2 linked regions of the Drosophila melanogaster genome follow. The protein of the gene in region 1 interacts with the protein of each later gene in a pairwise test. Each region holds a gene or a part of one and is shown in the gene's direction. Other genes may lie near its edges.

The links. The genes of interacting proteins can lie anywhere in the genome.
Region 2: the proteins of E5 (region 1) and Rcd-1r interact in a two-hybrid assay, tested with the Drosophila melanogaster proteins (one large-scale study listed by BioGRID).

What each region holds. Positions count from the first base shown.
Region 1 is NT_033777.3:13,870,152-13,878,143, reverse strand, and holds the start of E5 (E5), read left to right. Parts: upstream 1-3,227; 5' UTR 3,228-3,547; intron 3,548-3,890; 5' UTR 3,891-3,964; coding exon 3,965-4,844; intron 4,845-7,992.
Region 2 is NT_033779.5:9,012,385-9,017,521, reverse strand, and holds Rcd-1r (Rcd-1 related), read left to right. Parts: upstream 1-3,453; 5' UTR 3,454-3,599; coding exon 3,600-4,472; 3' UTR 4,473-4,637; downstream 4,638-5,137. Other genes in the region: CG13102 (uncharacterized protein), read right to left, coding at 4,679-4,896, 4,961-5,137.

The sequences.
Region 1 (7,992 bases):
AGCCCCCCATTCCCTTCTCGATCGTCACGAGAAGTTGTTTTAATTGACACTGAAAAGCCGTCGCCATCATCGCACATCAGATTTCCCAACAACGGATTCATCAGCACCGTGGGCTTCCATTTGCGAGTCCAATAAAAACGCTAACGAGGCGAGGGTGCTCACAGATACTCAGATACTCTGCATGTATGTCTAAGATATTGTATCTGTATCTATAAATCGGGCAGATGGACAAGCGTAGGAGGGTTATCGCAGAACAATTAATTTCCAACCAATAATTGCGAGTTGAATAGGGGATAGGAAAACTGGTAAAAATATGCCCATAAAGCAATATGTCCATAAATGACAATAAATAATGCTAAAACATAAATGTTTTTTTACAATTTCATAAATTATTTGAATACTTTTGGATATCCAGATGCGTAAAGTTCGAGTACTTTTTACACTGAATCCAAATAGTACATTTTAAAAACTAAGATGATGCTAAATATATAATGGCCCTTGTGGAAATGTATAGATAGTAACATTATATTTAGCCTGTGTGAATGAGACCGGGTGACCCAGCCAACCATATACAGTACAGTACAGCCTGCCCACAAAGAAACCCCTTGTTAAAAACCCACCTCCTTGTGAAAATCCCCCCTTGTTGGAAACTGGCAAAGCCGTGCAAAGTACTCGTGATAATGAGCTCCATCTCGTTGGCAATTATTAAATGAAGTGGATTTATACGCTGTGGCCCCCTCCCCTTTCGACAATCGCCCCTGCCAACACCCATCCCGCTCACTCCAACGGAACAAAGCGTCCAACCCCTTGTTAGCAGCTGCTAATACTGTTGTCCCGTTCTCTCGCACACAGATACTGCTTGCAGCCAATCAACGCCAGTTGTTGGTTTATCTCGCTCAGTGGCTGTGGAACATGGAAACGTCTTGTGGATTGCATTTCCACATGCAGAGAGACTGGGGCAGAAAAACACCAGTGTGAAGTGGTCTATGGAAGAAGGTGCTTCCACTGGAAGAACCTAATTTTAGTCGACTTTAATTAGTTTGCTGAAATGCTAAGTAAACCTTATTCGAAGAACATTATAATTGTTACTGGACAGTCATTAAAGGATAAACCGAAGCTTAATTGTAAAGCAAATTAGGCGCTTTGTTTCTTCTCTTTATGTATGTTTATTTAATGTAAATAATGTTAGTAAATGTTTGTTGAATTATACAAAGTAAATTCAACGAAAAGATGTGTAACATATAAATTGATTAATTTTAAAATCCATTTTCATTTAACAGATATGCTTATCGTATTTGTTCGAACTAAAACCTGAGTTACACAAGAATTAAACAAATGTATCTCAAATATATAATTTTACATCTACCGAGAAAAAGGCCCTAGAACTTGCATCGCGTTTCGCGAACTGATAATGCAGGCATTTGCTGCATTTTATCTTTTTGTGGGCCCTCCTTCTGGTCATATATCAAGTGCGGTAAATGCCAAAAAATACGCCCACAAAATCATTGATTGCCGATCGATAACCTTTTGCGGTGATGGAGCATCCCATAAAGTTCTCGTCCCAGCTCATTGTCTGACTAATTAAATGATTTATCCCGAATCGTGAGGCAGAGGAGCTGGAAAGGAGATGGGAAAGAGTAAAAACCAATTACAATTACCGCACCCAGAGGTGCCACACTCACAGATATAGATATATGTATACGTGTATACATGAGTGCATCTGCGGCAGCAAAGCTGCTGCCCCACCGACAAGCAACGGCCTTATCTAGATGCATACAAATCCAGCCAAGCGCACGTCAATTTATTTGCCAACTCTCGCCTCCTTTCTGGCCAACATCCATATCCATTCATGGCCAAAAGGAGGAGAATCGCATGTATTTACCTATGAGAAGGCTGCGAAGTTGGCGCTGCATGTTTTATGCCTCCTCCTGCATCTTTAACGAGGTGTTTATTTTCACAACTCACAGCCAGCGGATGAGGATGCGGATAGGGATGGGGATGGGAATGGGGATGGGGATGGGTATACAGATACTCGGATGACCACGCACAGATACAGATGCAGATACGTTCCCTTCCCAGCACGCTGTATCTGTATCTGTGAGATTCGCGCAGTTGCAGCTCGCCGAAGGTGTAGAAACCAAGTTACCGCCCATTTTCGTGTCCAAATGCTTTTGGCCAACATGATGCAGATGCCAATTCAGAATGGTAGAATGGCCAAGCGGCGGGGGGAGGGAAAGTGGTTTATAGCCAGCACTGACGACGGGGCGTCTAAGCTATATAAGCGATGACGTTGATTCCACTGCACAGTGGTATCGGCTCGATATCCTTTGAAAAATGCGTATTTTCTACTTTTGAGTTATGTACAAATTTGAACACTTTTTAATATCGATTTTCCAGTAGATAGTAAATAATTTAATACATGAAAACAATTTAAAAACGGTTACTGATGAAAGATAAACGTTTAAGCCTTAAATATTTCAATGAATAAATACAATTCAATTAAATAAAGTTTCAATTTTTTTTTATTGTTAGTATTTGCATAATTAAAAGAGGGCACAGTTCGCTTTTCAATTTTAAATGTTATATTTATTATATTTATTTTTAATCATCGAAGACCTACTTCCTATCCACTGTTCGGGTGCACCACCCCCGTTCCCCCTCCTACGCTCCAACAAACTGGCCAACCCGCTTGGCACTAAAACCACAAACGCTTTAATGATGCTGTTTTGTTTAGCGCAAATTGTTTGTTTCGCTGTCATAAACTGGTGCGAAAAATGGCCAAGAGAGCGACAGAGAGAGAGAGAAAAAGAGAGAGATTGGGGCCCCTCACACACCCACACACCAACAAGCCCAGAGAGCGGGAGAGCGAGCGAGAGAGGAGGTGGCTCCACTTGGAGCCAAGCAGGTTTTCGGAATATCCACTGAACTATTGTTGCGCTGCTTTGGCGCACGCGCACCGAGCCACGTGTGCGAGCGAGACGCCAGCAGTATTGCTGCGCTGGAAGTACAAGCAAAGGAAGAAGAAGCACACTCGAACTGGCCCCACAAACTTTTTGCGGCTTTTTCCAACGCGACACTCGAGCTAAAACGCTCAGCGTGAGAGCCACGCAGCGATTCGCCGACGCCCCCGCCAAAAATCAGGACAGAAAGAGAGAAAGCGAGAGAGAGACAGAGGTTGCGAGCGGCGAAGTGGAGCCAACAATTAGACGCCTTTAGACGCTCCATAATGCTAATGGCGTTGACAGTGCTCATCATCATCGCAGCGCGGCCACCGCAATCGTTTCGTTACCGGGTAGCCGGCATAACCGTTAACCGTTAACTGATACCGCCACCGCCACCGTCAATCGCCAATAGTCAATCGCCAACCATCAATCGCCGCCGTCAATCGTCCAGCGAAGCGGTACGGTCACGCTCCAATCGCCGCGTTGCCGCCGCTCCAGTTACAGTTACAGTTTATCAATGTCACGCCGACGGATGCCAACCGCTGGAGCATCGCAGATACAACGCTACGTAGCTATATAGCTATAGCTATCTGATCGGAAAAACAGTGCGTGTGTGCTTATCTGATATCTAGTAACCATTAACCGATGTACGCGATCATGTTTCCATAGCACCAACCCATTTATTGGGAGCTTCGATCAGTACAACCCTTTTTCCGTTTCCGTTTCTATTCAGTTCAATTCCATTTCAATTTCCATTCCCTTTGATTTTAGTAGGATTTTTACCGTTTTATTTTATTCCTAAAACTTTTAGTTGAGCATTATTCTTTTATTTACTGATTTATCCCGTTCGAAAATACAAAATTTTTTTTTTCAAAAAAGTCAAATATGGAATGGAAAAAATGGAATTTAAGGCCTACAAGTGTTCTTATAATCTACTTCGACTTGCAGAGACTTCGAATCGGGAAGTTTAAGAGGAGGGAAAGTGATTCATTTGTTTTTCCAATCAACGAAACCCCTACCAAATGGTCACCTGCGGCCGGCAAACGTTCAACATGCTGCCCATGGCGCCGACGAGTCCTTTTGTGAGCAGCAGCTCCTCGGTGGCCGCATCCTCGACTTCCGTTTCCGCCAGCAGTACCGTTTCCGCCTCCGCGAGCAGCAAGCCCAAGCTGGCCTTCAGCATCGACTCGATTGTGGGCGAATCCTCGACGAGATCGGCTCCACTAAGGGTCAGTGTGATATCTTCGCCGCCGCCGCGCAGCGAAAGTCCCGCTTCGCCAACGAACACGAACAACAGTGGGCGCCGGACGCCCAGGGGCTATATCTACTGCCGCAGAAGGGATTCGCTGGATCGATCGCGCAGTCCTCAGAGATCACCGGTTAGCCGGTCGCCATCGCCCCCCAATGCAGGAGGCAATCCGGCAGCGGCCGGGAATACTGCAAAGTCCGGGGATCCATCGTCGGGAACGGGAAATCCTCCAACCCTCATCCGTCCGTTGCCTCTGCCGGCGCCAAATCTAGCTTTAATTGGGAACCGCACCTCACCGAACGCCATGGCGGTGCGCATGGCGGGTCCGCCCCACCCGCCGTCGCAGCCACCGCCGTTCCTTGCCGCCCAGTTCCAAATGGCTGCTGCACTGGCTCATCATCACCAGCAGCAACAGCAGCAGCAACAACAGCAACTTCCGCCCGTGCCAACTGGACCGCCACATGGTCCACATCCGCATCTGCCGCCCGGCCAAATTCCACTTGGAATCTTTCCCGGCGGACCGCATCCCGGGCATCCTCCGCCCCACGGACACCATCCGTTCGGGAGTGCGCCGCATCTGATCCGGGATAGCTATCCGTTGTATCCATGGTTGCTCAGCCGACACGGACGCATTTTTCCACGATTCCCAGGCAGTAAGTAATCACACTGTTTTAAATATATCTATTGTTTATTACAATATTTTCAATAAGTTCAGAGTTCAGAGAAGCTAACCGGTTTAGCAAGCGGTACTTTCATATGTATATAAAACCGCTAAAAATTATTTCTATAAATTGAAAAATATAATTTTTATGCATAATCATCTAAGCTAACAATTATTTGTAATAAATTTACTGCAAAATTAATAACAGTTTATATAACAATAATACATATCATTTAATTTAATATTTACCCTATTCTGATAATAAGAGTACATCTCTCTTTTACGGATTATTAGAAAGATAGTTGTTACATATATATTTTTCATATTTGAACATTAGAATATTATGATAGTTTACGGTCGGTTTCTTCTTCTGGAGATAGCAACCACCCCTTTTGTTGGTTATTTTTCGCTATAACGAGTTTTCCGCATTCATTATAGCCGTTTCAAATGGCCGCTGAGTGTTGCGAGCGACAGAGAAAAAGAAACCACACCTTAAGTCATATTCGAAGCCCAGCACCATTATAGTAGAGAGGACCCCAATCAAGCAATTATTCAGTTATCGCTGTTGTTGCCGCGCAGCTCCATATAATTAAAGTTAAATAAGCAAATGGCAAACATTTATTACAAGTTAATTAGACGTGTATCGGGCTCATCATCATCAGAGGGAGCGGGACGGAGAATGGGAGCGAACAGGAAGGGGGGAATGTGGAGGGAACCGAACCCATTTTGATAACTATTTCCAAACAAATTACATTTTAATTAAATTGTTTAAACAACATTACACACATCGTTAGGTCAAGCAGCGTACCTAAATGGCCAGCCAAGTGTGTGAGTGTGTGTTTAGCATTTATTTGCTCTATTTATACTTTTTCTCTTCACTCGAAATTACCATTAATGGCCAACAGACGGCGCCAGTTACTCATGCGGCGGGCCCATGCGGCGTATGTGTAACGTACGAAAAGTGCAACCATTGAAATGTTAATGCGTTTTTAATTGAGGTTTTGGGGCAACCAAGCAAAGAACCGAGAGGAATGGTAAAAAAAAAAAACTGGCAGATAGAAGCGAAGAGCCACCGCAAAGCGCATCTCAAAAACATTGTCATTTATTACGGTTTAACCACTTTTTTCTACCATTCCGCTGCTCTCATGATTACCATTTGAATTTCCAGGCCATGTTGGTATCCATGTTTTTTTTCGGCCGGTTAAATATAATAATAATTTTCGGCACACTCACACGCCTTTCACCTGCTTAAGTGTACATGTATCCCCGTTACGCCTTAATTATGTTGTACTCCGTTTCATTATTTTCTCCCTTTCTACTTGTTTTCCCATTTCCCGCCGCTCCTTCTCTTTTTTCTCACTTTTCTCCGCGCCGCCTGTAATTTTCGCTTGATTTATGAACGTGAAATGTCAATGTTTCGCATAACGATTTCATTAATTGTAAATGTTTTTCATCTCCGTTTGTTTTGTAACTCGTGTGAGTAATACCAGGTTACATGGGTTTGTTTTTCTTCCATTTTTTCCCGATCTGGAGTAAGATAATGGGGATCATCGCGATAGCGACGGTGATGATACGTCAGTAACTCAATTCAGCTTGCACGTGCTGCAATTTCTGGGTGTTGCCCTCTAATGCAGCCGTTGAAGTTCTGGGAAAACGGGTTAAATTAACAAGGCTGAGATCCTTATTATGGAGGGCTTAAATAGAGGGCACTGTAATTGGACAAGCTGCTTCGGGATTCCCATTCTAAAGGCTTACGAGTTAGCAGCTAACAATTAGTATACCTCATAAATATGTATCGTTAGAAATCGAATTTACGCATTAGAATATTTAAGTTGTATTCCTTAGTATCACTGCTCTATTTTATTGGTATCTTATGTAAATCATTTTTCAAAAAGAAGTATGTATGTATTTATACTCCACAGCATAAAACTGTAAAATCAAGTTTTTAAGTAGTGTTTTACCTTTTACTTCGCCCATTTATAAAATTGCACATTTCAGTAGTACATTGTTCAAACCCATTATCCCAACAAACCCACAAAATTCCATTCATACATCCCGACTGCAAATGGCCATTCCCGTCAAATCGATCATCACAACACATCATCCCCGTCTGTCATTCATTTGATTTCAATTATCGATTCCGAGTCAATGTCCTCGTACGCGGGACATGCGAGGAATGCAATAAATTAATGAAAAAATCATGAGAGCATAAAAATTAAGCCCTAACTCGGTAAAAAAGAAAGCAAACACAATTGCACATAAGTGATAAATAATAGGGCGCACAAAAAGGCCAGGACAGTCGAACAAACGAAATCGAAACGAAACGATCCGGCACTTCCATCATGGGCTAAAAAATAAGGTACACTCGAATCTCTATATATACAAAAAATGACAGCTGACAAGGGTGTGAGCCACTGCAAAAAAAAAAAAACAAAAACCATAAAAAACAACAACTTGGCCAGCAGAGCGGACACATCAATTAATTGTCAATTGCGCGTATTTTCGCACGGCGGTTTCCTTTGTGTCCACAAAGCTGGAGGAAAAAAAGGAAAAAGTGGGAAAAACTACACACACACTTCATTGAGAGCTGCTGCAGAGCTAGAAAAAATAATTAAGTGGCCATTGTGAGCGGCGGCATTATCAATTATACAGCCTCTTCTAAGATACAGTCGTGTATCTTGTATCTTGCAGCTACATTGTTAGCTGTCAAATGTAACAAATGTCAAGCGATCGTGGGCTATATAAAAAAAAAAGAAGAAGCCGAACTAGATCACTCTGGATGCTACCTCCTGGCAATCGTTTGTCAAGTTCATAGCAAAAACCAGGCACGCAGTCAGTCCGCCGAGTCAGTTGCATCTGTCAGATACGTGGATACATGGCCATCAATGGTGCGAGGCTGCATTTATGAAGTGTCGAATTGACAAGTTCCCATTCCCATTCCCATTCCCAGTCCATATCATTCCCTCTTCCCTTTTCATTGTTATTATTATTTTTTCCAGCCCGGCGGTGCTAACAAGACACAAGATACATTTCTGGGGTTGTATCTTGTATCTAATGGCTGCGCACCCTTTCTCCTTGTATCCTTTCTCTATTAGCTGTTTATTTTTGCAATGGCTTAGCTTCTGTTGTATAGCTTGTGT
Region 2 (5,137 bases), on another chromosome or scaffold:
TGACACATCCTTAGCACACACATGATCTGAAAGTGATTAGCTTAAACTTGCCTCGGTCCTCACATCATTATTAGCATAATAATAAAGTTGTTGGGTCAACACAAAATCACCAGCATATAAGCCAAATATCTTTCTAATTACTTACAAACAAGTCCCAAACCAAAAGCCAGCCCAAAAACAATGCTAAGCTTAGTTACATTGGACAGATAGAAACACCAAGCCATTTGCTAATCTCTCAACAAAACCCCAAATCCAATCCTTTCGCAGTTCGTTATAGTACATTTTACGACAATGTGATAAACGTTTTAGGCAAATATTACAATAATAATTGTCAAACACTTTCGAGGAGTTTTTGGAGCCGAGGCCTTTTAGGCTGCACTAAACCAGATTTTGTGCCACTTATTTTGTTGGCATTTTCGTTTTTATTTACGAGTTCTTGGTGTTTACACATTGGCTGATTCACATAAATTATGAATTCTTCGAATTTATATGATGTCTATTTGTATATAACCAATTGATAATGTATGTGCGGAAAATTCTAAAAATACCAAACGAATGTGTAAATTTTGTCTACTTGTATTTGGATTTGATTTATTTGTTAAATGTTGATTTTTTTCGATTTATGAGCTTGCAGTGTGTTTTGTCCTTGTGCTGATTTTTGGCAACACTTTCGCTGTTTTTAATTGTAGGACTTTTTTAATTGTTCTGTTCTGTAATATTAACTATAGCATCGATTTGTAACGCGTTTTAACAAAAAATTTGTACGGTAAATTCAATCAGATTGTTAAAACAATTTACTTAACTGCAATATTTATGCCGTCATAATAGAATTTAAATTTCCATCTTAATCATTTGCGTAGGAAAATTAATGGGAAATGTGAATAATTCAAACAGGTCCATTTATTCATTGAAAATTAAATGCTCATGCTATCATGGACATAACGCAAATCATAAAGCAATTCGAAATTTATGCAAAATATTGAATTGCTTATTTGGTCTTTAATATCGGCATGTCAAAATTTAATTCAGATTGCAGCATCATTATTCAAATTGCCTTTCTTTGATTTACATACCGAAAATTCACAAAGCATCAAGCAATACCGCAGACATTTTGCGACAATTTAAAATGATAATACATACATATTTAATTTGCAGCATTTTTTCAGTAAAAACTAAATACAAAGGGAAATTGAAATATCTGTCAGGCATTCCGTGTCGAATTAAAATAATAATTTAATCGCATAGAAGGGTCCAAAACTAACAATGTAAAATTGATAAAAGTAACCAAAGAAGGAGCTGAAAAAAACCAAATTAACCGCGAATTACAAATCAATTTAAATGCAGCAAACTTTTTTTCCAAAAGCCCAACAATGAAACTTCTACTCGTTATTCTATTTCCGCGCAGAAGGACGAAAACTTTTAATTCAATTCCTGTCTCAGGCATGTCAATGAGTTTGTCTTTGCGGTGTGAGACAAGTTTCGGGCCTCTTTTGGCCTCTCGAATGCAACATTTTCGGTCGTCGCGAAGAATGGAAATTTGTTTGGTAAATTAAAAGTACTTAAAGTGCAAGTCAAGATCCCAGCTTCCCCCCAACTAATACCACGTCCTTTGCTCCCCCGTCTCATCTGTGGCATTATGTATTCTTTTTTAAAACATGCAAAATCACGTCTATGCATCTTAATAACTTTTCGTGCTCGTGCAAACAATGCGAACGTGAAAGTTGAATAGGTTTGGCTTAGTTATCAGAGGGTTCCCGTCTTCGTTTTCGCAGGAGGAAATTTTCTGGGGTCTCGGGCAGGTTGCTCCATGGTCTCTCAATGCATAAATCAAATGTACATATTGTAGTTGAAGCTAAACTTAATTTAGTTTCCGGGAGTTCCCAACAAGTTTCGGATATCGAGGGTGGATTTGGAGCACAGATAAGGGGAAAGTAAGAATATTCCTGGTGGTGCGGATGTTTGATTTTTGAATCTGGGTAGGTCTCAAATGTAAGCAGTAGTTTGTATTCAAGTATTTAAGACTGTTACAGTTATTGGTTAAGGCAAGACAGATAAGAATTGTATCATAAGTGTTGACTTTCCATTGTTAACAACTATAATTTCTTAGTGACACTCGTTTTGATTCGCATATCTCGAGGGAACAATAACTTCTTAAGCTTGCCTATAGTAAAACTATAGTATTGTATAGCTAGTCCTGAGCCAGCTGCTATAGCCGTGACCATAGTCATAACTTTGTTTAGCAAACACATCCATTCCCATTCCGAGGCACACATGAAACAATTGAATCGAAAAGAAACCAATCAGTCAACAGGGGTATTCCCCACGTAACCCACCGAGGGCTGCAAAAAACCAGTCAAAAAAAAAAAAAGTAACAATACAAAAATTAATTGATGACGTGCACACACGCATACATACATGAACACTCACACAGCCACACAGATGACGCACCAACACTAATTGGCAGCAGGAACAACGTGGACCACATATGCATGTATGCGAGGATATAGCCTGGAAGTCGATTTGATAACCGTGCACGATATGATGGGCGGCATGGATCCCTTCCGCTTTGGTTATGAAACATCCGAAAAAGGGGACGCTGTAACGGGATTTTGGAGGCGGCTCGGTGAAAGGGTGAAAGGGGCGTGAACACGGCCAAATCGATGCAGACATAGACGAGCAACAATCAATCAATTAAATGCCTGAATGCAGCTCCAAACAAACCGAGCCACGATAACCATAACATGACCCACCGGATAATGTTCGGCATGCAAAAGTGAGATTGACTTTTAGGCAGACGGCAACACTATTAAAGATTTATTCTTGTTTCTCGGCTCGTTCGAATCTCCGATTTTCTCTGGGATAGTTGGCCAATTTATGTGACGGACTGAAATTTTTAAAGCTCTCTGCAACAAACAAAATTGAAATGTTGCACGATGTGGCAAAGAATACATTTTCTGTTAACCATTTCTGTATTGGCAAGTAATTCCAGAAATGGACAACTATTCCAAGCATCCATCTGTTTAATGGGTTAAATGCGAGATAAAATATTTGAAAATTTTAAAGGCAAATATTTGTGTGTGCTAGAATGATTTTTGATTTATAGTATTTGTCAATACGAATTCATTAATTCTAAAACTGGTGTCCAAAAGTACTTAATGGTCATTAAGCCATAAATCGGACCTCCATCAGATGCGCAATTAGTCTGGCCATTTCAGAGAGCTAAGCTATGCTATGACATACTTAATAGAATCATAAATTTTAATCATCTACCGATTAATACTTGTAAAATATAGAGAAAACGTGAATTTCCAGACGAATTCCAAGCTGCCAATCAAATCAATGGTGATAAGAAACAAAATTCTGGGAGACATTCGAACAAGAAATTATTTATTAATTTATGGCATTCGTGCGTTCCTCGGCTCTGGCCACATTGTTCGGCCACGTGCTTTCGGTCCTTTCTCGCTTGAAGCTTATATCGATAACCACAATAGACGCCAACTCGAAACCACGTTTCTCAATCGTCCGTCGAAATTCCGGAGCCAGATCTTTCCAAGCTACTAGATCTTTGCAAGCTAACGCGAAAAAAAACCAGCTTTGCGATGAGTGCGGAACCAAGTCCGGTAATGAGTCCCCAGCAGCAGGCCGAGCGGGAGAAGGTGTACCAGTTGATCATCGAGCTGGCCTATCCTGCCACGCGGGAGACCGCTCTGCTGGAGCTGAGCAAGAACACCTATGCGGACCTGGCCCCCATGCTGTGGAAAAGCGTCGGTACCACCTGCACCCTGCTGCAGGAGATCGTCAACATATACCCCATAATAACGACGCCCGTTTTGAAGGCCAACCAGTCGAACCGCGTGTGCTACGCCCTGACTTTGCTACAGTGCGTCGCCTCGCATCCGGAGACTCGCCCGGCCTTCCTGCGGGACCAGATACCGATGTACTTGTACCCCTTCTTGTCGACCACGTTCAAGAGCAGGCCCTTCGAGCAGCTGCGCCTGACCACGCTGGGCGTGATTAATGCTCTGGCCGAGACCGGTGATACGGAGGTCCTCATCTTCCTGATATGGAGCGAGGTCGTGCCTCACTGTCTGACCAATATGGTCAGGGGATCGAAGCTGACCAAGATCGCGGCCACTTCAATCCTTGAGAAGATACTGCTCGATGAGATGGGTCTGACGTACATTTGCGAGAACCACGATCGCTTCTCGCAGGTGGCCATCACCCTGGGCAAAATGGTCATCCATATGTTGAAGTTTCCATGCCTCCGGGTGCTGAAGCATGTGGTGCGCTGCTATCTACTACTTACGGAAAATGCGCGCGCTCGCAGTGCACTTAGAGTGTGTCTGCCGGATCTGCTGCGTGACGGCACCTTCACGTCGCTCGTGCAACATGACACGTGCACCAAGCAGTGGCTGCAGATGCTGCTCAAGAACCTGCAGACAAACGCCGTCAACCCAATGGGCTCCTCCTAGAGAAGCGCCCAACAACTTTCGTCACTCCACCGTCCATTCAAGCGCCATCGATTAGTGATACCCACTCCTAGTTAACTGCTCGACCGAATAAACATGGCCTACATAATCTACAAATGAAATTATGATATTACTAAAATTGACGGTACAATAAAAAATATCAAATATAAAATATCATAGCTCCTAGCTCATATTTATTAATAGTCACACTAGGCATACATCTTGACCAGCAAGAGACCCAGAACGCTAGACGCGATGGCAATAGTGCTGCTGCTCATCTTTCCGGCCGGATTCTTGTTGCACTTGTCGCCCGAACAGGTGAGACACCAGGTCTTATTGTAGTGAGCATAGGCCGGCTTAAGTGCTAAGCTGCAGGCTCCAACATTTGGATGCACACAGCCATGGAGCTGATGGATCACATCGTTATCTGGCAAGTGGAAAGTAGTTAATAAATCTTTATAGTCCGCTTCTGGGGTCCCCACGCTACTCACTCCAGTTGTACTTCAGAGCCAGGCAATCGAATCGCGTGCTGGTTAGGTTGCCAACATTCTGATGATAGACACCCAGGTAGTAACTAGTCTCATTCGCAGCCGCATTCGTGCAGGTGACTTTCTTGGGACTCTTGCAGTCCTTTGGCGTTACGCAGGTGTAACACTTCAGGGAATCAG